Linked DNA regions of Sus scrofa. The protein of the gene in region 1 interacts with the protein of each later gene in a pairwise test. Links are inferred from orthologs where the notes say so. Each region holds a gene or a part of one and is shown on either strand. Other genes may lie near its edges.

Region 1 (3,500 bases):
TCCCGCCCTTGAGCTGAGGGCTGAAGGATCCCTGTCCTGGTGGCTGCTTTGTGACCTTCTGGGGGGATTTGGAAAAGCACGGCTCAGTCCCCACACCTGAGCCTGCAGCGCCCTGGTGCTGGAAAAGCCCCACAAAGCTTAGTCACCCATCCCCTACCCCCGGCAGGACAGCACCAAAGCCTCCAGAATCTCCAGCTCCTCCCCAGGGGTCCCCCCAGGGCAGCAGCTCGTGGGCATCTGTCTTTTGCAGTGTCAGAGACGTGGCATCCTGACTGAGGCACTGTGGAAGCTGTTCAGAGCCACTGCTCAGCGGGCCGGAGCTGAAATTAGATGTACGGAGGCAAAGGGCGCTCGGTTCTCTAACCCCGAGGCCTGTGCGCCATCAGCTGGGGGCCGGAAGGTAGAGGGGACGTGGGGTACCCGTGTGACCAGAGCGCAGGTCCCCGAAAGAGCACGAGGCTGGAGCCCTTGGAGCCCAGCTCTGCTACCCGCGAGCCTGTGCGACTCTGAGGAAGTCCCGCCTCCCTGGGTCCCTGTTTCCTTTGTCTGGAAAGTGACTGTAAGTCCCGTCACCGTGACTTACCCGCACACGTCGTGACCATCACGTCATCAGTGTCACCCTAGGGACTTGGAGCCAGGGCTGAACCTGGGGACAGGAGGGCTCACCTGCCTGCCTCCTGACCTGGGCTTTGGGGCGCCTCCGCCGCACCCGCCCCGTCCTCTGGCTTCTTTGAAGAGACGGAGCAGGGAGAGGCCGCGTGGCCACGGCAGGCTGGTGCTGTCGTTGCAGATGGTGGAGAGCATGAAGTACCCCTTCCGGCAGGGCATGCGGCTCGAGGTGGTGGACAAGTCCCAGGTGTCGCGGACCCGCATGGCTGTGGTGGACACGGTCATCGGGGGTCGCCTACGGCTCCTCTACGAGGATGGCGACAGCGACGATGACTTCTGGTGCCACATGTGGAGCCCCCTGATCCACCCTGTGGGTTGGTCACGGCGTGTCGGGCACGGCATCAAGCTGTCAGGTAACGTGGGTCTGGCTGAGCGGTGGGGTGACTGTGTGCCTTGCGGGTGGCCGTGCTTGACCAGGGGTCCCAAGAGGTCGAGGGACTTGACCAAGGCCACTTGGCTTGAAGCATAAAAACTGATTGAAACCAGAGGCTACAGGCCCCATCCTCTCCCACGTCAAGTGGGAAGAGAAGAGTCCGGGTCTTAAGGGCTGAATCCCCCTCCAGAGAGAGGCCCTGGGCCTTCCGCCTCCTAGTGCTGGGGTGGCGCGAAGATACGGATTAGAGCCTGGGCAAGGCGGCCCCACACTTCTGGGGGAGGCGTGGAGGTGGCCCTGGTAGCAGCTTCACTTCTCTCTTCCCCATCTGTCGTCTCCCTAAAAGAGAGGCGCAGCGACATGGCCCACCACCCCACCTTCCGGAAGATCTACTGTGACGCTGTTCCTTACCTGTTCAAGAAGGTGAGGCCCAGCCCTCAGGCGCGTTCCCCTTGGCTGCACGTCCACCCCGGGCCTGCAGCCTCCTCCCTGGCATGTTCCTGCCCCCTCGCTTCCTTCCAGGCCGATGGCACACCATGGCCTGCTTCCCCCCATCGCCTGGGCCAGCCCGGAGTTTCCCCAGCTGCCCCGTTCCTTTTAGGTTCGAGCCGTCTACACGGAAGGCGGTTGGTTTGAGGAGGGGATGAAGCTAGAGGCCATTGACCCCCTGAATTTGGGCAACATCTGTGTGGCAACCATCTGCAAGGTGAGCTTGGGGCAGGCCCCCGCCTCCCGCCTGGCTTCCTGCGGGCACGGGGGTGGCAGAACTCGGCACGCAGTGTCCATCCCGTCTTCCTGGTACTGGCTGCTCTTTGGCACCTGCTTTTTCTGAGTGGAGCCTTAGCTCCTCACTCAGCATCTGCTCTCAAGTTGCGGTCAGAGCCAGGCTGGACAGGTGCTGATTGAAGCCCTGGCCTGAGCCTGGCTCTGTCCCCTCGCTGGGGGCCTTCCTGCCAAGACCTGCCATCTCTTTTGAGTGCTGGCCTGGCCAAAAGCCGCAGCTGGCTGGCTTTGCTGCAGACCTTGCCACCGCTGCCTGGGGAGCAAACTGGGGGACATGCCGATTGTCCATCCAGCACGTCTCCAGGCTGGGCCCATGTGCTCACCCCGAGAACCCAGTGACCAAAGGGCAGATGGCGTTCCTGCTGGCACAGCATTTGCTGTCTAGTGAGGAAGCCCAGAGATCCCACGATTACGGGCTGCACGAGTGCTCAGTGCTCTGAAGTGGCTCAGGGACGGCTGAGAACTGGCTCCAGGTGGATCCACCCGCCTCGTGGCCCCATTGCCCTGGGCCGGGGGTGCAGCTCAGGAGGCCGTGTTCTGTCTGCCCCGCCCCCTCCCCACCGCCCACTAGGTGCTCCTGGACGGCTACCTGATGATCTGTGTGGACGGGGGGCCCTCCACAGACGGCTCGGACTGGTTCTGCTACCACGCCTCTTCCCACGCCATCTTCCCAGCCACCTTCTGCCAGAAGAACGACATCGAGCTTACACCCCCGAAAGGTAAGACGAGCCGGAAGGGGCAGGGGGAGGCCCTGATTCCTGGCCTTGCTAGACCCTGCTAGACCTTGGAGCTTGAGCTGCCTGAGGACTGGAGAGGTGACAGAGCTACCCGAGGTCACCACCAGCCCTTGGTCTGGGCTGGCTCGCCCCATGGCTGGTACGTGGCTCGGTGAGCAGTCAACCACCTGTAGGACAGAACCAGGTCCTAGCAGGTACCAGCCAGGGGAGGAGGGAGAAGGCTCCTGCAGAGACTCCGGGCTGGATCCTGACCGAGCTGTGGGCGCCCTTGGCCATGGGGGGCTTGGCGGAACTCTCTCCGGCTCCCCTTCGGCCCTCAGCCGGACTTTCCACTGCTCCAGGGTACGAGGCTCACACTTTCAGCTGGGAGACCTACTTGGAGACGACCAAGGCGAAAGCGGCGCCATCGAGACTCTTCAACATGGTGAGGGGACCAGGAGGCAGGGGCCCGGGGTGGCCTTGGGACGGCCCTACCTGTTCCCACTCCTTTCCTTGAGTCTGTGCTGCTGAGACCGGCCGCAAACTCCGACGCCAGCCCCGAGCCGAGCAGTTCAGCCGGTCCCTTTCCCAGGGGGTGGTGTGGGCACAGAGTGCGGTGGGATCGCTGGTCAGAGGAACCTGCCCTGCTCCCTCCCCCAGGACTGCCCCAACCACGGCTTCAAGGTGGGCATGAAGCTGGAGGCCGTGGACCTGATGGAGCCCCGGCTCATCTGTGTGGCCACCGTGAAGCGGGTGGTGCATCGGCTCCTCAGCATCCACTTCGACGGCTGGGACAGCGAGTACGACCAGTGGGTGGACTGCGAGTCCCCGGACATCTACCCCGTCGGCTGGTGTGAGCTCACCGGCTACCAGCTCCAGCCGCCCGTGGCCACAGGTCTGGGCTCTCACGGCCCTAAGCGGCTCTTGACTTTGCTCTTCCTTTTCCTTCCTGCCAATCA
Region 2 (2,412 bases), about 15 Mb from region 1:
TCCCTGCATTTGGCAGATGGTTGACTAGATATTTCCCCTAAGGCTTCTTCCAACCCTAAGATACTATTCTGTAGTTCTCTGGCCTGACTGTAGAGTCAGAGCAAGCATGGGTTTCCAAGACAGCATCTTCCTAACTCTGGTGCCCCCTCCAGCCTCTAGCAGCTATGATGGAAGAGGAGCCAGAGTCTGCCAGACCAGAGGAAGGCAAACCCCAGGATGGTGAGTGACACCTGCCTCCATCCAGAGATGGAGGAGTGTTGAGGCTCAGCTGTGCCACAAGGGATTGGGGGCGGGGGGCGGGCAAAGGGCATCTCAGGTTTGAGAAAAGAGTCCCTGGAATAGAAGGATAAGAGATTGAGGGCTACCTCCAGGAGCCAGAGACAATTTGTTGGTGTTTCCCATTCCAGGAAACCCTGAAGGAGATAAGAAAGCTGAAAAGAAGACACCTGATGACAAAGTGAGAATCTGAGAATCTTTCTCCCTATGTGGACCCCAGTCCTCTCCCCAACCCAGGTCTGACACCACTCATGGCCTTAGCAGAAGCTCACATTTATTCCATGGGTTCCCAATCACCCTTAACCTGCCTTCTCCACCACCTCACACACGCAAACCAATAAATTCCTCTTAGTTCAGGGACATGGAGGAGAGTTGGAATGTAGTGTGTCTAGCAAATGCCCTTGTCTTGGCCTCCTGCCCCTCAGTGTGGGACAGAGGAGCTCTGAGACTCATCACCCCCTTTCACCCCCAGCACAAGCAGCCTGGCTTCCAGCAGTCTCATTACTTTGTGGCTCTCTATCGGTTCAAAGCCCTGGAGAAGGACGATCTGGATTTCCCGTGAGAGGCCTTAGGATCGGGGTGGGGTGTACTGGGAGTGGAGAGGGGAGAGCCCAGCTCCCTATGGGAAAGGAAAAGGGGGGATTCAGGGTTTGGAGCCTATTTGGGGCTGGACCTGGGCACAGCCAAGGGACTAGATGTATAAGGCCCCTAAATCTCAGAGGCTTCTTCCTTCCTCTCCCAGGCCTGGAGAGAAGATCACCGTCATTGATGACTCCAATGAGGAGTGGTGGCGGGTAAGAGAAGTGGCTGAGTCTCAGGTGGGACATGGGTTAAGTTAGGACTTGAGATTGTGAGATTGATTCTGCTTACCATGTCCTCTAGGGGAAGATAGGGGAGAAGGTTGGATTTTTCCCTCCAAATTTCATCATTCGGGTCCGGTCTGGAGAGCGAGTGCACCGTGTAACAAGATCCTTCGTGGGGAACCGCGAGATAGGGCAGATCACTCTCAAGAAGGACCAGGTAGCTCTGGTGCCCCAACTCAACCCCAGGCGCAGAGGCTTCTCTGCAAACCATCTTCTTTGCAGATCTTCACCCATTAATGGGACTAGATCGGGCCTCCAAAACTCAGAACTCCCCCCTCAGCTCTTCTGTTTTCTCTTGATTCCTCCCTTCTCATCCTTTCATCCTTTAGATTGTGGTGCAGAAAGGAGATGAAGCCGGCGGCTACGTCAAGGTCTACACCGGCCGCAAGATGGGGCTGTTCCCCACCGACTTTCTAGAGGAGATTTAGGCTTGCAGACGCCTGCTGGCGGGAGATACCCAAACCCCACTATGGGCAGGCCCAGTGGAGGTTGGGAAGAGAAGGGGCGAAAGCAACTTTACCGCTGGGTGGGGGAGAGGTGGGAAGGCCCGCCGGAACGTGACGGGGCTTCTGGGAAGGGACTGGTTCCCGCCCCCCTCCCCCTCGGAGGGCGTCGCAGACTTGGTGCCTGGAGCAGCCTCACCCGCAACCCCTCAAGCCCAGCCTTTGAGAGCTGGAAAAAGAAGGCATCTCCACTCGGAGGCGTCCCGAGGAGAGGGGGGTTGAGGCGAAGTGTCCAATGTTGCGAATTTATTAAAGTTTTGACAGAAGTTAGAAAAGTTTGCTGTTTAACTGGGAGCCGAGGGGAGAAAGGAGAGGGCCCACAAAGGGGCGGAGAATCTTCTCCAGCCGTCTCAGCTAATTACCATTGGGTAATTAGACCCGCCTGGGCTGAGGCTGGTGCGAGGTGGGGAGACGGGTGCGTCCGCCAGGCAAGGCCTCGGTCAGTGAAGAAAACGGTGCCGGACTGGTGTCACTGCTTCTGAGCCGCGAGGAGCAGGATCCTGTAGCAAGGTAGGTGCCCCCCTACTCTTAACGAGCGATTTAAGCCTCTGGCAGCCCCTTTCATTTCCGAACCTGGCGCAGTTCCGAGCTGGGCCGCCAGGGGGCGATACAAGATCTCGGTTGGAGTGCGAGGGACGGGAGGGGCGGGGGGAGAAGCGAGAACTGGAGACACCAAGCCAGAGACCCTGGGCCTGGGAGGGGGTGGGGTGCGTGCCGTCTCCATGGCAACACTTCCTCTTGTCCTCCGGGAACTGAGCGAGCGAGGCCGG
Region 3 (4,023 bases), on another chromosome or scaffold:
CCCACAGAATCTACCAAAAAACCTAGAATCAATAAGAGAGTTCAGCGAGACCCTGGGTTACAAGATCAACATGTAACAGAATGCAGTAGAGAGAGAAAAAAAAAAGGATTCTTAAATTTAATCTGAATTCTAGAAGGAGAGAGAAACTGAGGTAGAGGATATCCTAGGAAAGATAGCTGAATTTCCCAGAACTGGTGAAAGTACAAATACACAGACTGAAGAAACACAGAGACTTTCAAAGCAAAGCAAAAAGAAAGCAAGAAAGAAGGAAAGCAGGCAAGCAAGCAAGCAAAATGGAAAAAAAAAATCCTACCTGGATTTCTAATGAAATTGCAGAACCCTGAAAAATGGAGAGGAGAAATAAACAGGGGGGAGATGAAAACAAAGTTAACAATATCAGGCTTAATGATTTGACTTAAGTAGTGCTTACTTGCCAAGCACTTACCTTAAGTGATTAATTCCTTATGGAAATTGTATTAGGTAGGAGCTATTATTACTTCCATTTTATAGAGGAGGAAATTGAGCCAAGTGAAATTGAGTTACCTGCCCAGGGTGGGACAGCTTATCAATGGTAGAGGTAGAATTTTGAACTAGGTAGTTAGTTTGTGTCATTAACCACCACACATGTTTGTCTCTCTAAAGGGCAACGGGAAGTCTTTGAAAGGTTTTAAGCAGGGGAGTAACACATTTGTTTTCCCCAAACAAATCATCCTGGCACCACTGTGAATAATGGATTAAATGGAGCTAAGAGTGGAAACGGGAGCTCCTGGAATAATGTACCTAAAATAGGGAGGGCCTGGATGAACGAAGGAGGTGGCAGACAAAAGAAAATAATTTGCGGGCTCTTCTGCGGTCGAGTCCACAGGAATTGGTTTTGGATTGGATTAAGGGGGTGAAGGAGGGTGAGGATGGTACCCAGGTTTCCGACCTGGGCAATTCGGTGGACAGTGAAAGTCATTCACTGAGGAGACTGCGGATAAGTCTGATTTTGGACACGGTGAATTTGCGGTGTAGAAACGCGGTTAGGACCAAAAGCAGAACCCATCAGTGGGGTTCTTTTGGCAGGGCGCGCGCACGCGCGCGCGCGCGGGAGTTCTGCGCGGCGGGGCTCCCCTCCGGAAGTCGCCTGCGCAGGCGCAGTGCAGAGGCGGGCGCCCCCTGGCGGGCGGCGGCGCGCTAGGACCGCCCCCAGCCTGGCGCCGCTGCCGCCCGCCTCAGCCCAACATGGCGATGCACAACAAGGCGGCGCCGCCGCAGATCCCGGACACCCGGCGGGAGCTGGCAGAGCTCGTGAAGCGGAAGCAGGAGCTGGCGGTGAGGGCTAGCACCGGGGGGCGCCCGGGTGGGGACCCCGTGCCTGCCCCTGCCTCCAGACCCCGGCTCCGCCGCGCCGGGCGGTTCGTTACTCGGTGGGCGCAGCGCGGCGCCCGGGAGTCCGGCGGCCTGAGGACGGCTGCGCAGTGCGCGGCCCGCCGGCGCCTCGGCTTCCAGGCGGTGCAGATCCGGAGCCGGGAGCCTGGGCTGGGGGCGGGGCGCGGAGCCGGGGAGGGGGAGGGGGACTAGGCGGGCGGGGGCGTGGAGGAAGGATGGCGCCAGGGGGTGGGGGCTTCTGTGCTGCAGCCCTGCTAAAGCGAGTAACCGTGAGCTCTGCGGGGTAGGCGAGGGCGAGCGGGTCCATGATCTTTAAGGAGTGCGGGGCGGGCGGATCGGTGGGCTGTAGATTGGTCCGGGCTTGCTGGTGGGCTTTAGGTGGGGTGGTGGGGTAGGAGGCGAGTGTGGGAGGGACACTCACACATCCTGCCTGGTCTTTGGAGGATGGAGGGTCTCGTCCTTTTGGGGACTAGGAGTAGATCCGTTAGATGGGGTTTTTGATGGGCAGGGATGTGATGTGTTTGGGAACATCTTAGGAGGTGACAGGCGAGGGGAGCGGACTCGGTTAGGGAATTAAGAATTGTGACACGCAGCCCGGGTCCCTTGGACCGTGGCGGCTAAGCCCTCCCTCCCCTCGCGTTTTGGCTTGGGCACCGGGAGGCCCATCTCACCTGAAGCTGCCCTTCCAGGTTTCCATAGCAACCGGCAGCCCAGTGCTGGCGGCCTTTCGGAGCCTACGGGGAGGGGAGCCAGTTGGCGCTGGAAGGCTGCTTACCCTTCCCTCTCCTGGTAGCAGTACCTTTTATGCGTGGGAGTGGAGACTGCTCTTTTTTTTCCTCCGCCCGGGTTCTTGACAGCTGGGTTTCCACGAAGCCTCTGAGTATATACAAACTTTTGTACATTTTTCTGGGGACAGGCTCTCTCTATTCCATTCTGTCCTCAAGGGATACAAGACAGGTATAGACTGCCTTAGTGTGAAACACCCTGCCCCTGCCCGTGTCATTCCTCCCTCCGCAAGGCTGGTTTGGTGTAGTTGAGCTTGAATTTATAAGTCTGATATAGACTTCAATTTGGGAGTTCCTGTCGCGGCTCAGCGGAAACGAATCTGACTAGTACCATTAGGATGCGGGTTGGATCCCTGGCCTCACTCCGTGGGTTAAGGATCCGGTGTTGCCTGAGCTGTGGTGTAGGTTGCAGACTTCGGCTGGAATCCTGAGTTGCTGTGGCGTAGGACAGCGGCTGTAACTCTGATTCGACCCCTAGCCTGGGAACTTCCAAATGCCTCAGGTGTGGCCCTTAAAAAAAAAAAAAGTTCATTTTGGTTAGGCTTAATGCAAGCATGTAAAAGGTATTAACCACTTCCTTATTTTTCGTCACTCAGGAAACACTGGCAAACTTAGAGAGACAGATCTATGCTTTTGAAGGAAGCTACCTGGAAGACACTCAGATGTATGGCAATATTATTCGTGGCTGGGATCGGTATCTGACCAACCAAAAGTGAGTGTCAAGCCTGTAGTATTTGTATGATGTCCTTGTAATATTTGTGCTTAGGACTGGGTAATTTCTTGGTAGTGGCTTTGCAGGGAGGCAGTAGTAAAGTGGGGTGGAAAGAGGTCTGCATTTGAGCTTGGACTCTGGCTCAGCCACTCCTGGGTAATCCCAGATAAACTCTACACCAGCCCCACACAGTCGGAGAAGTCCCGCCAATGGCACAGGGTTGTGCAATGCTTCAATGAAATACAGCATGTAATACACTCCTGTCATGTCATGAGTCCCAAGATTTGCTATACCTGTGTGGCAACTGTATCACAGTTTCATTTAGTAATATTCTTTCTAAAAAAAAAATTTTTTTTTTTTCTTTTTAGGGCCGCACCTGCAGCATATGGAGGTTCCCAGGCTAGGGGTTCAATCAGAGCTGTAGCTGCTGGCCTGCACCACAGCCATAGCAACACAGGATCTGAACCACTCCTGTGACCTACCCTACAGCTCACAGAAATGCCTGATCCTTAACCCACTGAGCGAGGCCAGGGATTGAACCTGCATCCTCATGGATCGGAGTCAGATTTGTTAACCACTGAGCCACACGGGAACTCCTAAAAATTTTTTTAAACTTGCTAAACTTTTTGGAAATTTCTCAAATCTGCAGAGTACTTGAAAGACTAGTTGATCTCTTGATACCCCTTACCAGCATTCAGCAATTGTTAACTTGTTGCCACATTTGCTTTCTCTCTCTTCTTTCTCCCTCTTAATATATAGTAACACACACCACTATTTCTATGCTTAAGTTTTTTTTTTTTTTTTTTAAATTGACACATAGGAAGTTGCAAAAATAGTAAGAGAGGTCCCATGTACCCTTCCCCCAGTTTTCCCCAGTGGTTGGGTTTTACATAACCATATAGTACAATAGCAAAAGCAGGAAATTGACACTGGTACAATGTGTATATGTAGTTCTGTCATTTTATCATGTCTATAGATTCCTGTAACCACCACTGCAGTCAAGATACAGAACTATTCTCTCACCACGAAGAGCTCTCTCGTGCTACTCCTTTGTAGTTAGTTATATCTCCTCTTCCGTACATATATGAAATATGTATTTATACATTTATATTATATATATGATAATTATACATATTATAATTATTTGCTAAAGCA
Region 4 (3,500 bases), on another chromosome or scaffold:
GGGACTTACCCACGGGTGCCTGTGTGCTGTTCCCCCAGGCCAAGGAGAAGATGAAGGAGGAGTCGTGGAACATCCACTTCTTTGAGTTCGGGCGCGGCATGTGCATGTACCGCACGGCCAGAACGCGGGAGCTGGTGCTGAAGGGCATCCCCGAGAGCCTGCGGGGGGAGCTGTGGCTCCTCTTCTCTGGTGAGCTGCCCCAGCCTCCATGTGGGAACTCGGCTGACCCCAGTTGGGCCTCTTGAGTCGCCAGGCAGGCCCTGGCAGCCTGTACAGGGCAGAGATGGGGCTCTCAGCTGCGATGGGGCTAGTGTGGGCCCATGCCAGCAAGGGCGTTGCAGGGAACAGATGCCAAGGGATGGTGCTCTCCCCCCGCAGTGGGAGGCAGACAGGCCCCCAGAGGCCTCTTTTCCTTGGGACAGACTCCAACAACATTCCTACCCTTGGCCACTCGGATGATTTGAGGAGAAGGGCAAGCCAGCCATTCAGACTTGGGTGGGGTGTCTCCTCCCAAGACAGTGATGGGGGAAGCTTTGCCTGGCACCTTGTAACTGGCCCCAAAGTGCCACTTCCCTTCTTCGTTGCCATGACAATGTCTCCACCCTGCCCTGTCGTTGTCCTCAAAGTCCTGGAAGGGGATGGGGAGGGCGGCAGCTTCCAGCTGTGTCTGCACAGGGGCCTGGAATGAGATGGTGACTCATCCTGGCTACTACGCTGAGCTGGTGGAGAAGTCCACTGGGAAGTACAGCCTGGCCACAGAGGAGATCGAGCGAGACCTCCACCGCTCCATGCCTGAGCACCCCGCCTTCCAGAACGAGCTGGGGATCGCTGCACTCCGCCGGGTGCTGACCGCCTACGCTTTCCGAAACCCCACCATCGGCTACTGCCAGGTACAGGGGCTCGGCAGGGGCCAGAGGCAGCCCCTCCCATCAGAGGCTCACAGGAGCAGCTTGCCACGGCCCTGGGCCTGAGTGATGACCTCACACACCTTTGGTTGTGCCCTCTTCCCCAAGGACAGTCCTGACCACAGAAAAAGATGAAATGAAGAGCAGTGTTCATTGCTCACCTCACCCCCATGCCATATATCAAGTTGTCTTCTATGTGCTTTTGGTCTGGGCCCCGAAGGCATCTGCTTGTTTTATGTGTGTGTTAAAATACACATAACAGGGAGTTCCCATCGTGGCTCAGTGGTTAACGAATCCGACTAGGAACCACGAGGTTGCGGGTTCGATCCCTGGCCTGGCTCAGTGGGTTAAGGATCCGGTGTTGCCGTGAACTGTGGTGTAGGTCACTGACATGGCTCGTATCTGGCGTTGCTGTGGCTGTGGCATAGGCCAGCAGCTACAACTCCAATTAGACCCCTAGCCTAGGAACCTTCATATGCCGCAGGAGTGGCCCTAGAAAAGGCAAAAAGACAAAAAAAAAAAAGAAAAATACACGTAGCAAAACTTACCATCTTAATCCTTTTATGTGTATAGATCAGCAGCATTAAGTAGATCGTTGTACAACCATCACCACCATCCATCTCTAGAACTCAGCTTGCAGAACAGAAACTGTACCCATGAACCAGCTCCCGTAGTTCCCCCTGGCAACCACCATTATCTTTTCTGCCTCTGTGATATTAGCATCATACAGCATTTGACTTTTTGTGACTGGCTTATTTCATTGGCAAAATGACCTCAAGGTTCATCCATGGTGTAGCATGTGTCCGAATGTCCTTCCTTCTTAAGGATTCCGTTGTATGTATACTCCATGCTTTGTGTATCAGTTCATCAACAGTGGCTGCTTGGGTTGCTTCCGCCTTTTGGCTCTTGTGAGTAATGCTGCTATGAGCATGCATGTGCAGCATCTGCTCCACGCCCTGCTTTCAGATCTTTGGGGCCTATACCCAGAAGTAGAATTGCTGGATCATATAGTGATGGGATATTTAATTCTTTGAGGAATGGTCATAGCATTTTCCACAGGAGCTGCACCGTTTTACATTCCCACCCAGAGTGCACACAGCGGTTCTAGTTTCTCCCCACCCTCGCCCACATCAATTGTTTTCTCTCTCTTTTTTTTTTTTTTTTCTTCTTTTTGTCTTTTTAGGGCTGCGCCCATGGTACATGGAGGTTCCCAGGCTAGGGGTCCAATTGGAGCTGTAGCTCTTCAGCTATACCAGAGCCACAGCAACACCAGATCCCAGCCACGTCTGTAGCCTACACCACAGCTCACAGCAACACTGGATCCTTAACCCAATAAGCGAGGCCAGGGATCAAACCCGCAACCTCATGGTTCCTAGTCGGATTCGTTAACCACTGAGCCACGACGGTAACTCCTATTTTCTCATTTTTTTGATAATAGCCATCATAGTGGTGTGAGGTGATATTGCAGTCTTGATTTGTGTTTCTGGAGGCATTTGATTTTAAGTCTAATGGGCATTTTCTTGGCCAGGTCATATGGCTTTCTCTTTCCCTTTGACTGTTTCAGACTGGATTTCAGAGAAACCACCTTCCGTAGGACATATTACCAGAGCATGGAAAACCAGTGTACTGGCTCTAAATCATTTTTAGGATAATTTGCCACCATGGAAGCTTTTTCCTGCAAGCTCTGCTTTGCCATGGCCACCCTGAAGCTGTGTGGCTGGCACACACAGCTCACTCACAGCCTCTTGGCCCTGTTCTGCACCCGCGACCCCAGACACCCTGAAGAAGGGCCTTGCCTTCTTGAGTGTCCAGATGCCCTCTGGTCCAGTTTGAGGAACTTGGCTGACTGTTTTTGCCAAATCAAATTTCCTGCAAATTGCTTTTTAGCAGATTGCCTGGAGTGGGGCGGGCTGATTTGTTGTTGCCAGGCTTGCTTGTAGAGCGAGGCCGAGCAGGCCTCTTGGGAGAGGACGGCTCGGGGAGCACCCCTCACCGTCTCTGTGCCCACAGGCCATGAACATCGTCACCTCAGTGCTCCTGCTCTATGGCAGCGAGGAGGAGGCCTTCTGGCTGCTGGTGGCTCTCTGTGAGCGCATGCTGCCCGACTACTACAACACCAGGGTGGTGGGTGAGTGCCCGGGGCTGGCGGCTTGCTGGGGTGGCGGGCCTCCCCGGGCCAGACCTGTGCTCAGCATGTCCCACGGGTGAGCCCTTGGAGGCCCCAGGCTGCAGGCAGTCACAGCTCCCTCTCCGAGCTTAGGAAGCTGTGAAACCTGCGCACGACTAGAGCAAGCGTCTCTCCCAGACTTAATGCAGATTCTCTAGGAGTTGCTGACAGAGAAGCTAGCTTAGGGCCTGACTTCACATTGACCCAACTCTTCTTAAATGTTTTTATTTCCAACATCACAGCTAAAGAGTACATCCCCCCATCAACTGTTGTGAACTCACAGCTAGTAGAATCCATGTTATTAAATGGAAATGCGCTTGCAAATATGTTTAATTACATTTATAATTAAGTCAATTATTCTAAAATGTCCTTCCCCTACTCTTTGTCTTGGGGGTTTCCACTTTGGGGGTCCTATAGAATTGCATCTG
Region 5 (3,495 bases), on another chromosome or scaffold:
TATTTCGTTTAAATAATGGTACTAAAACCTGTAATGGGAACCAGCTGAAGCCAAGAAGGGAAAAGAAAGGTGAAAACTATTATGTACACTGGAGTTTTTAAATTGTATTACTGTATTCGGTAAAATGAATGTGCTCCCTGAAACTAATGAGATTTGTGTTTTATGTTTGTAACCAGCAGAGGTAGCTGACGGTGATGAAAGGCTGGACGGCGTTTCTCTACCCCCAACAGGTAAAACACATTTCCATTTTCATCACCCGCTGGAAAATACAGCACGTGAAAATATTTGCATTGAAAATGTTTTTAACATCAGAGATGCAGATGCTTGAGCAAACTGCTTCTATAAGAGACCCAGCCCCAGCAATCAGGGTGTTCAATGCCCTGCGTTCAGAGGGATTTTTCACATTGAATATGAAAAGCCACGGCTTTCTCACATTCTGTTTCATCTCCTTGAAAACCTGAGAGCAGCAAGTCCTGACAACTTAGTGTCACCCCAATTTGCCTCCCCAAACCTTGGGACATTAAAAATTTTTTTTTTGGTCTTTTGTCCTTTCAGGGTCGCACCCGCGGCATATGAAGGTTCCCAGGCTAGGGGTCTAATCAGAGCTGTAGCCACCGGCCTACACCACAGCCACAGCAGCACCAGATCCGAGCCATGTCTGCAACCTTCACCACAGGTCATGGCCACGCCGGATCCTTCACCCACTGAGCGAGGCCAGGGATCGAACCAAAACCTCATGGTTCCTAGTCGGATTCGTTTCCTCTGTGCCACGATGGGAACTCCAAAAAAAAAAAAAAAAAAAAAAAAAAAAAAATTTAACACGAACTGATATTTCTCTTTAGATTAGGGATCATCGGTTTTATGATGAAATTCGTGTCCCTTCTGTCATCTCCCACCTCCCCTCAAAAGGCTTTGAGAAGCAGTGTCATTGCTTTTCATGTAACAGGCACCCAGTGAATCCTGTGTTTCGAGTGACTGAATAAGCCAGCTAGCATGGGTGGCACTCCTAGCCATGTAACCGGATGAGCCGAATATAGCATTTCACTGAAACCTCTGCTGCAGGGGTAACACCATGCCCTGAATACTCACTTCCTAATATTTGACTCTCAAGTAATACTTCTGACCCTGGTCCCCTGCCTCAGCATCAGCTCCCACCGGAGCACCTGATGGCCAGGTGTCTGATCAGTGAGCCATGTGACAAAGAGTTTATGCCCTCAGTCTCAAAAGGTCTTTATTGACTGTCCTCAAAATACCTGAAGATTCTTGTAACAGCAAAACCCAGATGCCCCCCTCCAAAAAAAAAAAAAAAAACCTGGAATGAAAAAACTGTGTTTTTTCTCCACTTGAGGTGGTAAGTTTTAAATTAAATCCAGCAAGTATTAAAGGAGTCGCTAGTCTGTGTAGGAACTCTGCGAGGGCACGTGTTATTGCCAGTACTTATCCTGAGTTCATAGTGTGAGACAGGCATTGTTAGTGAACTTCAGACCAGCCAGAAAACTCAGCCTTGCAAATGATAACCGTGCTTTCTCTGTCGCTGAGTAGCTAAGCAGCAGATCGATGGGCAAATAAATGAAATGAGCCACAGAGGGCAAAAGCAACCTGCTTCTATCAAGTTCTTACTGTACAGGCATTACAGAAATTACAGAAAAGGGGCTTCTCTTCTTGTTCAGCTGTTTCCACACTTCTGAACCGAGAGAACTGAAATGCATGATCTCTATTGTTCCTTCCCAACCTGCCCTCCTCTGAATTATCAGGACCACTCTTAGCCTTGATCTTATCACCCACTCCCAGTCATTGCATGAAAGGCTGCTGCTAATGATGAACTTGTGCCTTCCAGGCTGGAGGGATACCTTGCTGGTCTAGTTGTATTTTCCCAGGTTCCTCCCCTGCCAGCCCCGTTGACCCCAGGGCATTTGCACAGCCTGGGCTGCCATCTGACACAGTGGGCTTGTAAACGGTACTGTTAATTGGAAAACCCCACCCCTTGAAGTAATAATACATTTGCCTCTTCCTGTCTGAGGATGGAAGCAGAGAGATGTTTCAGATAAGGAACTCGAGCACAGGATGATAGAACTACCTCACGGAAGTGAAAAGAATGTCAAGGACTCCGAGAAAGAAGGAACATTAGAGATCATCTAGTCCCGTCCCCTCTTTTTATCCAGTCCTTTTATTTTACAGGTAAAAAAGCCTGAGGCCCAGAAACACTAAATGACTTTCTCAAGGTCTCACAGCTGGTTGGTGGCCAGGCCGGAGCCCAGGCCTCTCAACTCCCAGCCGTTCCACCGCGTAGCTTTCTTACACCTTCTCTGCATGTTTCCCAAAGATCCCAAGAGTTGCTGGATGTTCTTGCTCATCCCTTTAGGGTTCCATTTCAGTGTCTCCCCGTCGTCATGGATAGTCTGTCGTAAGTCGGCCCGAAGTTGCCTGCAGTGTCAGCCCACAGGCTCTCCCTCAGATCTGACCCACGGCTGTGAGGCCCTACCCAAAGCAGGAGGAGGCCGCCCCCGAAGGTCTTTTCACTGGACCCCTGATAGATATTTGATCCGAGTCACTAAACGGCATGATAAATAAAACCACTTAGCATTTCAACATGGAGAAGAGAAGGCGTGGAGTGGTGCCCAAATTTTGCAGTAATGGCTTGAAGTAATCTTGACCATCCTGTCTCTGGAGTGCCTCTCAAGTGAGAATCCCGCTCTGGGGGCTTTGAATACAGCACTGTGACTGAGTCCTCCCTCCTTACGTGCGTCCTAGGAGACCCTCCGCAGCACGAATGTCACCTTTCTCACACATGCAGCTTCCTCTCTGGATTTGAGACTTACTGGCCAGGCCGTCCTCATCTGGTCTGAGCCGGCACCCACCGGTCCTTTTTAAGGATTTAGCAATGCCTTTATTACCTTGTCAAGGTCTTTTTCCTCTCCTTCTAAACTCGTGTGTGTTGAGGAGGGGTGGGACAGGTGTAGGAATCCCCCAGTGTTTCTGTGAACCAGAATCAGCCAGGTCAAGGTTACAGTCAGGCATCAGATGACATTTACCTCAATCCATGGCGCTTAAGCGATTTTCTATTTGTCTAGTTTTATCAAAAATGGATATAAATTTCATAGTGGAAAAATACATCTTCTTCTATTTCTTTTCCCTCAACCCTGTCAGTAAGTGCACTTGAGCAAGGCCAGGACTCCGTCCTGACTGAGTTAGGTTCTGGTGAACAAAAGCCGCCCTCAGACCAGAGCAAGGCAGAGGCCACCACCCAGGGTGGGGAGACAGCGCTCAGATAAAGGAAAAAAACATCCAGGGTGAAGGGCAGAATTTGGGAGGGTGGGGAGAGTACAGAGAAGAAAGTCAAAATAGTGGTATCTAAAATTTTGAAAAGCGGCTTCTGAATGTGAAGTAGAATAGTGCAGAGCGCACCTAGGCTTAGGTTTTTGTTTGTTTTTGGTCATCAATTTGTTTTCTTTTACATACGTTTTAGAAATTAATATAGAAAAGTGGAAGGAAGAA
Region 6 (3,316 bases), on another chromosome or scaffold:
CTTTTTCTCCCAGTCTTTCTACACGAACGAGGCTGGCCCTGGCCCCCCTTTCGTATGCGGCCCTGCTTGCTCCCCTTTCCTCCGCTGTTCCACACCCACGTGGCTGCGTGAAGATGCTCTGACGGTCAAGGCCGATGTTCGAATATCCCCCCCCCCCCCGAGTTTTCGGTTCAGGGAACCTCTTCTGTGTTCTTTTCCGTGTGTTTCCAAGTGTTTCTTAAAGTCCAAATGCCTTCATTGGATTGTGCATGTTTTTAATCTGAAAAATGAACAGTGCTTAAAATATAGGGGTGTCTGCCTGTTTTTTAAGTGAGAATTTTATTATTCTGCTTATCTGAAAACCGCGTTTCTCTTTTCCGTCTTGTATGTCGTAGCGAATGCTTTTTCCCTAAGTGTAGGCACTTGTACGAAGGTGTCAGATGTGCCAAGGGAATAACCACACAACTCGGTTTTCCATAAACATTTCTGCACATGACAGTGTACGCATGAGACAGCCTTCAATTAAAAACGTTAAAACGTTGATTTTCGAACTTGGACTCTGTAGATCTAGTCTTACAACTCTGGGGAACATCCGTTTTTAAACAAAGTCGGCATATAAGCTGCTTAGAACAGTCTTTGGGAACAAGCCTGACTGCCTTGACCTGCTGCTCCCTCGGACTTGGACTTGCCCTTCAGTTCGTCGTGCACTTTGCATCGTGTTGGTCTTTCCTTCCAGCTCATTACACAGGTCTTACTGGGCGCCCAGGGAGTGCAGGATGTTAAATTTAGTGCTGAGATCATACCACAGACAACATTTAAAAAGGAAGTAAACCTAAGGCTGTAGTCAGTAGGCCATAAGCTGATTCATGTCAGGTTCTGTCTTTCCAAGAGGGCCTCCCTGGCAAGTTACCAGAAGTAGGGACGAGCCAACGCTGTAATAATTCCTGTTGAACCCACAGTAAGTTCTTCTGGCGTGAATTTATAGCCCTCTTCTACCCTTCCAGCCAAAGGCCATTCCAAATGCTCTATGTGGAATTTGTCTGAGGGGTAAGGAGTCCAACAAGAGAGGGAAGGCTGAGCCCCTTGTGCACTGCTCCCAGTGTGACAGCAGTGGTAAGTACTGACGCGGCCTCGCCTCCTAACCGCCGGTGGGATGTTTCAGAATCTAGATTCTTAGCTGTCAGCTAGCCTTGCACCAGAGTCATCCCGTGCATAAAGAGAGCCACGTACCACCTTCTGCACGGTGATGAGGGCTCCCTGTCTCTTTGGCAACTAAACACGGGAGCCGTTCTTGAGACACCCAAGCAGACGCGCATCTTGTCCTGCCCAGTGAAGCTGGAGCTTGGCGTGTGAGACCCGACTAACCCTGGTTTTGGTTTAGGCCACCCTTCTTGCCTGGACATGAGCGTGGAGCTTGTTTCTGTGATTAAGACCTACCCGTGGCAGTGCATGGAGTGCAAAACTTGCGCCGTGTGTGGGCAGCCGCACCACGAGGAAGAGATGATGTGCTGTGACGTGTGTGACAGAGGCCACCACACCTTCTGTGTGGGCCTGGGCGCTCCGCCGTCAGGTAAAGAGGAGACGGGACGTGGGCCTTGAGCGAAGGGGCTCGCCTGGCGCTTTCTTTTTCTTTTTCTTTTTGAGGCCACAGCATAAGCACCGTCAAGACCCTTCTGTTCACATGGGACCAAAGCTGTCATCATGTCCCCTGCTTCTCACTCCTAGACAGGCTGACTGCAGATCCAGTGAGCTACCAGGCTGCCTACATGTTCTGGAAGTAGAGCTCAGTATACAGAATGAACAGCATTTTTCTACCGAAAGAGCTGAAGCAGTACCATCCGTTTGTTTCAAAGCCTTGATTTTATTTTTACATGTCACTTAGAGACTTAACAAAAATGACTATACCTTTAAACATATTCAACCAGATTTCTATAGATTGAGGCAGCCTAACTTCAGAATGAACACAGAATCAAAGAATAAACCACAGTAATTGGACTGAACATTACACACACAATTGTGTAATTTTAGAACTTATTTGCATAGTTTACACTGCCTAATACTTTATAAAATGTATGCCTAGAACTAGGTTTCCTGGGAGTCACTGAGATGCAAACAGCTTAGGAACTATTCAGAGTCCTGTAGCAGTTCTGATGGAGGGTGTTGCCCGCTGCATTACAGCACCGTGACCACATTTAAAGTGCTGTGTCAGCATCGTACACCAGGACTTGCCAGGAGGCTGCAGACACACAGCTGCCACTGAGCAGCAGCAGAGGCTTGAAAATAAGCCAAACTCAGGGTCAGGGTTGATGTTAGGGTTTGTATGATCAAACTTTTTAGCGTATGATAGCGTTTAAGTTTCAGAAAGGGTTATAGTAAGTTTTTAAAGGCCCCTGTCATTCCTTCCTTCCTCCCATGGCCCCCCGCCCCTACCCCGTGCACTTCCCGGGGCCTGAAGACATGGATTATCTCAGAGGGAGTTGACATTTTTCTCCTTAAATTAACGAGCTCATTAGTGCCTGTCCCACCACACGTCCCCTGAGGATTACTGTCAGCAGCCAAGGCTAAAGGAAGGAGCTAAATGGGTTTAAAAGTTAGTCCTAAAAAGTGAAATTCATTCTGTATTAACTAACAATTTTCTTCCTAGGTCGCTGGATTTGTGACTGTTGTCAGCGAGCCCCCCCAACACCCAGGAAAGTGGGCAGAAGGGGGAAAAACAGCAAAGAGGGGTAGTTTTTTGACCCCAGTTCTGTAACACGCATTTAAATGAAATACCTGGTGCCAGTTTATTTACAACATTCTCATTTTTATGCCAATAAAAGATTTTTCTTTGAAATTAACTGTGTGCTTAAAATCTGCAAGTTGATTTATTTCTACAAACTAATTCCTGAAACCAGTTTCAGGTAGAGAGAGAGATGGTTCCATCTTCCAAAAAGTCTTTCTTTCTTTCTACTTTGGCTCCCTCCATAAATTCAGTCTTGGTATTAGGCAGCTTAATTTGAAATACTTAACTATTTGTTCATTAGCCTCAAAGTTGCTATTCATTTCATGAAATTTTCCTAATCTATATCCTTTCTGGTCCACCATGGATAGCACAGCAAAGTTAATTAATAACGGAAGAATTTTAATAGGAACCCAAGATGGTAAAACTGCCAAGGAGCTGATGAGATCTGGTGCAGCTGGGTTTAGAACTGTCATTACCTAGCACTGGAACCTGCCTACCAGGAAATGCTGTTAGGCTAGGAGGTGCTGTCCCTATTTGGGGTGCAGGGCGGGACTTTAGTCCCTGCACTTCAGACTTGCTTTTGGTAACTTGCTTTTGGTAACTCTTGGAAGCACT

Evidence for each region.
Region 2: the proteins of L3MBTL2 (region 1) and STAC3 interact in binary tests that used the Homo sapiens proteins (3 or more experiments, as listed by UniProt). The two-hybrid records come from large-scale screens. The link is inferred for Sus scrofa from reciprocal best matches to the Homo sapiens genes L3MBTL2 and STAC3.
Region 3: the proteins of L3MBTL2 (region 1) and MEAF6 interact in binary tests that used the Homo sapiens proteins (3 or more experiments, as listed by UniProt). The two-hybrid records come from large-scale screens. The link is inferred for Sus scrofa from reciprocal best matches to the Homo sapiens genes L3MBTL2 and MEAF6.
Region 4: the proteins of L3MBTL2 (region 1) and TBC1D9B interact in binary tests that used the Homo sapiens proteins (3 or more experiments, as listed by UniProt). The two-hybrid records come from large-scale screens. The link is inferred for Sus scrofa from reciprocal best matches to the Homo sapiens genes L3MBTL2 and TBC1D9B.
Region 5: the proteins of L3MBTL2 (region 1) and BEND7 interact in binary tests that used the Homo sapiens proteins (3 or more experiments, as listed by UniProt). The two-hybrid records come from large-scale screens. The link is inferred for Sus scrofa from reciprocal best matches to the Homo sapiens genes L3MBTL2 and BEND7.
Region 6: the proteins of L3MBTL2 (region 1) and PHF10 interact in binary tests that used the Homo sapiens proteins (3 or more experiments, as listed by UniProt). The two-hybrid records come from large-scale screens. The link is inferred for Sus scrofa from reciprocal best matches to the Homo sapiens genes L3MBTL2 and PHF10.

Annotation. Positions count from the first base shown.
Region 1 is NC_010447.5:7,260,634-7,264,133, reverse strand, and holds part of L3MBTL2 (lethal(3)malignant brain tumor-like protein 2), read left to right. Parts: intron 1-790; coding exon 791-1,022; intron 1,023-1,388; coding exon 1,389-1,465; intron 1,466-1,643; coding exon 1,644-1,748; intron 1,749-2,396; coding exon 2,397-2,544; intron 2,545-2,903; coding exon 2,904-2,986; intron 2,987-3,201; coding exon 3,202-3,436; intron 3,437-3,500. UniProt on the Homo sapiens protein: Putative Polycomb group (PcG) protein. PcG proteins maintain the transcriptionally repressive state of genes, probably via a modification of chromatin, rendering it heritably changed in its expressibility.
Region 2 is NC_010447.5:22,548,508-22,550,919, reverse strand, and holds the end of STAC3 (SH3 and cysteine-rich domain-containing protein 3), read left to right. Parts: intron 1-152; coding exon 153-219; intron 220-407; coding exon 408-457; intron 458-748; coding exon 749-834; intron 835-1,018; coding exon 1,019-1,070; intron 1,071-1,158; coding exon 1,159-1,296; intron 1,297-1,468; coding exon 1,469-1,567; 3' UTR 1,568-1,912; downstream 1,913-2,412. UniProt on the Homo sapiens protein: Required for normal excitation-contraction coupling in skeletal muscle and for normal muscle contraction in response to membrane depolarization. Required for normal Ca(2+) release from the sarcplasmic reticulum, which ultimately leads to muscle contraction.
Region 3 is NC_010448.4:93,586,183-93,590,205, reverse strand, and holds the start of MEAF6 (chromatin modification-related protein MEAF6), read left to right. Parts: upstream 1-1,223; 5' UTR 1,224-1,224; coding exon 1,225-1,314; intron 1,315-2,561; exon of another isoform or gene 2,562-2,649; coding exon of another isoform or gene 2,650-2,658; intron 2,659-2,752; coding exon 2,753-2,868; intron 2,869-4,023.
Region 4 is NC_010444.4:78,710,367-78,713,866, forward strand, and holds part of TBC1D9B (TBC1 domain family member 9B), read left to right. Parts: intron 1-38; coding exon 39-189; intron 190-675; coding exon 676-890; intron 891-2,915; coding exon 2,916-3,033; intron 3,034-3,500. UniProt on the Homo sapiens protein: May act as a GTPase-activating protein for Rab family protein(s).
Region 5 is NC_010452.4:48,257,594-48,261,088, forward strand, and holds part of BEND7 (BEN domain-containing protein 7), read left to right. Parts: intron 1-176; coding exon 177-328; 3' UTR 329-2,178; coding exon of another isoform or gene 2,179-2,192; 3' UTR 2,193-3,495.
Region 6 is NC_010443.5:573,898-577,213, forward strand, and holds the end of PHF10 (PHD finger protein 10), read left to right. Parts: intron 1-983; coding exon 984-1,092; intron 1,093-1,360; coding exon 1,361-1,549; intron 1,550-1,820; exon of another isoform or gene 1,821-2,623; coding exon 2,624-2,709; 3' UTR 2,710-2,816; downstream 2,817-3,316. UniProt on the Homo sapiens protein: Involved in transcription activity regulation by chromatin remodeling. Belongs to the neural progenitors-specific chromatin remodeling complex (npBAF complex) and is required for the proliferation of neural progenitors.